Kluyveromyces lactis: one gene and its partner. The protein of the gene in region 1 interacts with the protein of each later gene in a pairwise test. Links are inferred from orthologs where the notes say so. Each region holds a gene or a part of one and is shown on either strand. Other genes may lie near its edges.

Region 1 (3,053 bases):
ACTGGTAGATCCCGTGGTGTTGCTTACGTTACTTTCCAAACTGAAGAAATTGCTGCTCAAGCTTTGAAATTATTGGAAGGCAGAGGTTTCATGAATTTCATGTTACACGCAGAATGGTCTAAGCCAAAACCAAAGAAAGAAGAATGATAAACTGTAAGAACTCGCTGATCAAACTGATATAGTATTTTTTGAAGAGAAAAACTACTTCAAAACTAAGTTCTAAACCCATTATTTCAATACCAAGGTCTCTTTACTTCTACCTTCAAAGTTGTTGCATCTTATCTTACAGCTTATTTGTTCCCTACAATTTATCCCATTCCTTTCATAACATGGGATATCTCTGCGTAGCGTGACGTATGTGTATCCTAATAATCTTACTTCCTGGTTGAACAAATGAGCATATCACTCAGCATCATACGGTTATATTATATGACATTCTTTGACCCATTTTGCTCTCGAACGATACAATAGCATATGTGTATAATTACTACATTCGAGTACTATGTGTGTTACGTATCTACCTGTATATTACAAACTCCAAGATATATCGTCTAACTCTTTCAGAAATTCAAACCGATCAATGAAACATGTTGGTGGATTTCGTTTTTCATAGATATTAAGCGGATGTACGTAGTATATAATATGTGACGATACTTAAGCATTATACCCAAATACTTTTACCCCTTCCTTCAATCTTATTACCCAATTTCGACACTTCATCTTGCCATTTTATCAAGTTATCTTTCATTTTTTTAATTTGCTCTTGGTTGATGATCCTAGGCTGAACCCACGTAATTGTAACCAATTGTTGGACTTGATCTATTGATCCCTTCAACAATCCTAAGCTGATACTTCTCATTACTAAATGTTCAACACTGTCGATAGGTAAAAATGTGGCATCTGCAATATCGCGGAAAGACAACGTTCTGATAGACTTTGCAAACACGCTTTCTACTAGAGTCATCAAACAAATCTTTTGTCTCAAGAATGACTCATGTTGAGCTAAGATTGGTACCTTGGGAATTCTTTCTTTTGAAATTTGATCAAACTTTTGGAAATCCCCTTCAGTTAATGCGTTCAAGAATCTGAATAACCATTCGTATTCTTTATCGTTTGAAATACTTGAAATAATTGGATGCTGAAGTAGTTCACCGAAATTATAGATATTGTCACCTAACAATGCTGCAATGCACAAATTGTATGCCAATTGTTGTTGTTCGAGTTGTGTCAATCGCTGCTGTTGTTCTTCCGAAGTGATTGTTGAGAGATATAAAAGACTGGTATAATAGAAATTGTTGAAGTCTTTCTTTACTTGGTAATAGGAAGCGTTACACGAGTAGTAGGCACCGGTAACTCTGAGAGGTACCGAATCTTGAACATCAAGTGTTTTCCCAATAGCGTCTAGGATGTCTCTGACCTCAACTAGGTCCCCCTTTTCCAATTTCACACGAGCAATCTCAATATCTAACAACAAGTTCCCATTTACATGAGGTTTTAAACCATCGTTTCTTTGCTTCTTTTCATCAATTTCTTTGAATTCCTTTTGAAGATCCTTTAGATATTGTAATGATTCTTCTGTGTCATCGTTTTCTTGTAATGCTTGCAACAAAAACTCAACAACATTCAATTGGTTTATCTTGTCAATGAACTTACTGACAAATTGGGTATAAAGGCGAAGTCTGAACGATTCTGATTTGCTATCATGGAAAAAAATCGCTAGCTTCTCAGTTAACTGATGCCATAGCTTCCTCTCATACAAGTCTTCAAAATCGTCGAATAATGGGGCCAATTCACTATTGACTTCCTGCTTCAATGTAGATAATATGGTGTCAATTTCGTGTGTCATATTTTGACTATTTAAGCTTGCTGAAGTGCTGTTAGTCGTGCGATGTATGCCTTAATCTATAATCTTTAATATTCTGTTCGCCACCTTACATTTCAGAAGGTGTATCGATCTATATATTTCATATTTACAAAACGTCAATCGAAGCATGAAAGTCGTTAATAATGACAATTCTCCAAACAAATGCTGTGAGAAGTGGATGAACTAGATATGTGACAGCAAATCATCTCCATCTGCACTTTCATCATCAAATAATGTAGTTCAATGCAATACTTCATGCCTTTCTTTTTGAGATATAAACCTTTTATATGCTATCTATAGACTGTTTGGCATTTTTCCAAGACTCTGAACAATCCTTTAACCATGATGTTATATTGTGGGCTAGTTCGCGGAAAATGAGGAACCACTTCTCATGGAAATATTTCTCTAAGTTATTCAAAGAGTTATCCATTGACTCATTGACTTGTTGTAAGTCCTTTTCGATGAGTTTGAAACATTCATTCAGTTTTTCAAGTTCCTTTTCTAGTTTGTTTACCTGTACAACCCGTTCGTCTTTAGTTAGAAGATGAGGTTCGACTTCACTTGAAATCGAATCAGATCCAGACTTGTTGTTTGGAGATGCTGATGACCTGAAAAGCCCCATTATCTGTTTGTCCGTGTGATTCTTGTTTGCTGACTTACGCGTCATGGAGTCCATAACTTGAGCAACGGTGGGTGATTCCTCTGCATTTAATTTCAATGCCTCGCCCAATCGTACAGCTTGTAGGTCTGCCTCTTTCAATTCACGGATTCTATCTTTCCTCTTCTTTATCGTAGTTTCAATTGTGTAAAATTGTTCTTGCTTGAAATTTCTGAAGTGAAGAACTCTTTGTGCTTCATGAATGAACTGAAGCATTTCTTTGCTTCCCTCTTCTAGACTGATCATGATTGCTTCACTAAATATCTCTGCACTAACATAATTCACATCGATTGCTTGACCTGTCTTCTCTATTCCCATCGATAGACGATTCATTTGTTCAAATAATGCACTCACTTGAAACACGCTATTCTCTAGACTGAACGCGTTGAAATACGCGCCGAGTTCAGATAAAACAGCCGAATAAGTTTGAATATTCGACCTTATACTTCTAACGGTCTTGTTCAAAGGTTGTAGGATCGCCTTGTACCTGATGAGATCTGAATCGTAATCCGCGAACTTGATCTCCATCAC
Region 2 (3,398 bases), on another chromosome or scaffold:
CGTCTTCTTCTCCAACCAAGGCGGTGTTGTTAGTGAACCTAGAACCTCTAAAAGCTGCGTAAAACACGTTGATAAAATTTGCAAAGTATTGAAATACATATCGGAAAACGATTCTCAACTGTGTGATCGTATTTGGATTTACTGTGCTACTAAAAAACCAGCTTCCCTTTTTGGTGGCAGCAAAGCCGCCAGCACTGCTCACGCAAATAAAGTTGTTAAGAACATTATTTCTGGCCAGAAGAAAAGAATAAACGGGACAATGGTAACACCTGAAATGTTTGATAATGTGAGAAAACCCAATCGTGGTTTGTTTGATGAATTTCTTAAAGATTCTGACGAACAATCGGACTCAATTGAACTTTTATTTTACTGCGGGGATGCTGCAGGAAGACCAAATGATTTTAGTGACAGTGACAAAGAGTTTGCTAAAATATTGGGCGTACCTTTCAAGGTACCGGAGGAATACTTTATTTGAATTTCGAATGATCTTAAACCTACGTAAAATATATTTATTTACTAAGTTACTTTAATGATTGAAGGATGAGCGTATTATAATGAATTTTTAATTTTAGTATAATACAGCGGCTTTTTCAAAGAGTTGTTCTACAACTCCATTGAGTTGATTGATCAATTCTAACGAAGAATCATAAGTGGCATCCTGTTGTGGTGTCTCATAAATATAAAGCCATCCGTTTCCTTGGTCAAGCACACCAAAGAAAACTTTGTCTAAAATCATTTGTGAAAGTTTGCCCTCTACTTGTTGAGCATCAAGCCCGATAATCTTTGAGATATGCGATACTTCAACACATTCGAATGGTTCGATGATCTTACTAAGATTTGATTCCAAAAGGGTGTCGTATAATGCATTGAAATGTGATCTAATGAGTTCATCGCCCATCAATTCTGTCTTATAATTTTGCATTGCTGTATTGAACTCCAGTAGGGATCTATTATTATAAGCCTCAGCGACTGCCTTCATGGCGTCAATTCCGCGACTTTGGTAGGTCTCCTTAGTATATTTGGCGTTCAAGATAGTTTTCACTTCATCAATCAAATTAAGCATGATCTTTGAAAGAAGCATATACTTTAGCACTTGACAAGCTTTTCCGAATGTGTTTGAGCCAGTTTGGCTGTGGAAGGCTTCAAAGGATTCATAAAAGTATGAGAAAGCAGTCTTATAATCTTTGTCTTCACAGTGTAAGATACCACTCATTAAATCCAATTCTGCCATTGTCAATGTTGGACAATAAATCGAATTTGCGGATGTTCTAGCACTTGTCAAAGCAGCCTTTGATTTAGTCAAATTTCTTAATTTATGGTACACTTTACATTCCAATAGATGAACTTCGAGCAAAGACGATTTATCGTCCAATTTCTTAAACTGCCTCAACAAATCATTGATCAATTGCAAGGATTCGTTGTAATGCGTCTTTTGGTAGTAAAGAGTTGCCAACCTAATCGATAGAGAATGCTTTAAAAAGATTCTCTTCTCCTTTGTGGCAAAGTCGATCGAATCTTCGCATATCTCGATTTGGGTATCCAAGGAATCGGGTATCAATTCGAAATCGTTAAGTAACGTCTTTAAAACTTTGGCAATCTTTGATTTCGCTACTTTCATCATGTATTCACGAGAGCGTGGTACAAACTCGGCGAGTTTCTTCAACTGATGTGTGGTACCATACAATTGACCTAGCTCAAGAATACATTGTTCCTTTTCTTGAGCATCTTTATTGCTAATTGATTGGGGTTGTGCGGCATCTTGATGGTTCAATACTGCTAAGAACTGCGCTTCAGCCTTCTCATAATCTTCCTTCCCTACAAGATTTCTAGCTTCTTCCAACGACATATCTAAGTGGGATTATTTGCTTTCTTTCCTGTTCCTTTCGTAGTTTAACTTCAGCTTCTGCTAGACGATCTCTGGCAGGTGTAGCGCCAATTGTGTCTACCTCGATGTTTTCGGTTTGCCACCTTATTTAATTTACTTTAACTATAATCTCTTGGACAAGATTATATATATCATTCTACTACAGAAACTGGTTCAATTCAAGGCGATCATTTGGTACGTAACTTGAATAAGGGTAGACTATTCACGTGACTTATACGTCACGTGAATCGAAATTAGATTTCCTTTACTGTCCTAATCTTAGCACAGATACATCCGCACGAAAAAAAGGAAAAATAGTCGCGTTTCGTCCTCCGTGATGTGTTTACCATTCCTCGAGAATAGCACGTGAAAGACCCTTCACTGCATTCACTTCAGCCAATCTTTAAACTCCTCACTCTCATCTGCCGCATATGCTGATCGGTACTGGTAATCCACATCCTCAGGTTCATTGTCTCTCACATGTTCTGCAGCAATTACACACCTGTAACTCATAATTTTCACCTCAAACACCTAAAATCACCTATTTGTAGATATCTGAAAGAAAAAAAACTTAATTTCACTGAAAGCTCGGTATGGGTAAATATTATATAAATATATTTGAAATAATAGTATGGATGAAATTAAACAGAGACGTGTTCATTTTGGCAAGTTTTGGGTGGAATAAACTTAGGTTTTCTTTTGCAGATAGAGGTATCAGTCGACCAGTATCTGTGGGAAACTTAGATAGGAGCTAGACAATTTCAATTGGGACCTTTGAACTGGAATTGAATTTTTGAATTGGTTTTTTTTTGTTCTCTCTTCTCAAACATTTAGTTACCATTTCCAAGGCTTTTTCGAAGTGAGAAAACATCTGTTGTCTGTATCTGTATCTGATCTGATCTGATCATTGATTGTATTTCTCATTGTAAAGGTATCTCAGTCTCACTCTCTGTTTGATTTTGTTGTAGAAAATGGGTAAGACTAAGACCTCTACTAAAGTACAAGATTGTGTTCTCGATGTTGATAGCGTTGGTGACATTCAAGTTGAGAAAGGTCCATTGAGACCTTTCTTGGTCACTGAGCCACCAAAGAATTTGAAATCTATCCGTACGATGACTTCTAGTAAAGAACGTTTGGTTGTTATTGCATTGGCTGTTATCGCATCCGTTGTGAGACTTTGGAACCTTTCGGATCCAAATTCCGTTGTTTTCGATGAAGTTCATTTCGGTAAATTCGCAGCTAAATACATTAAGGGTATCTTCTTTACCGACGTCCATCCTCCGTTAGCTAAGATGCTTTTTGCTGGTATTGGATCATTGGCTGGTTTCACCGGTGATTTTGAATTCAAGGATATTGGTCTTGCATTCCCAGCTTCCACTCCATACTTCGCTATGAGATTCTTCTCTGCGTTTCTAGGTTTGGCTACAGTGCTCTTGATGTACTTCACCTTGCGTGCTTCTGGTATCAGAATTTGGATTGCTTTCGTAGCTTCTTTGATGTTCGCATTGGAAAACTCTTTCGTTACCATTTCTAG

What was found.
Region 2: the proteins of RPN9 (region 1) and RPN6 interact in binary tests that used the Saccharomyces cerevisiae proteins (3 or more experiments, as listed by UniProt). The link is inferred for Kluyveromyces lactis from reciprocal best matches to the Saccharomyces cerevisiae genes RPN9 and RPN6.

The regions. Positions count from the first base shown.
Region 1 is NC_006038.1:63,077-66,129, reverse strand, and holds RPN9 (proteasome regulatory particle lid subunit RPN9), read right to left. Parts: upstream 1,847-3,053; coding exon 662-1,846; downstream 1-661. Other genes in the region: TIF35 (translation initiation factor eIF3 core subunit g), read left to right, coding at 1-147; SNX41 (Snx41p), read right to left, coding at 2,148-3,053. UniProt on the Saccharomyces cerevisiae protein: Acts as a regulatory subunit of the 26S proteasome which is involved in the ATP-dependent degradation of ubiquitinated proteins.
Region 2 is NC_006041.1:136,645-140,042, reverse strand, and holds RPN6 (proteasome regulatory particle lid subunit RPN6), read right to left. Parts: upstream 1,847-3,398; coding exon 569-1,846; downstream 1-568. Other genes in the region: TPP1 (polynucleotide 3'-phosphatase), read left to right, coding at 1-475; dolichyl-phosphate-mannose-protein mannosyltransferase PMT1, read left to right, coding at 2,836-3,398. UniProt on the Saccharomyces cerevisiae protein: Component of the lid subcomplex of the 26S proteasome, a multiprotein complex involved in the ATP-dependent degradation of ubiquitinated proteins. In the complex, RPN6 is required for proteasome assembly.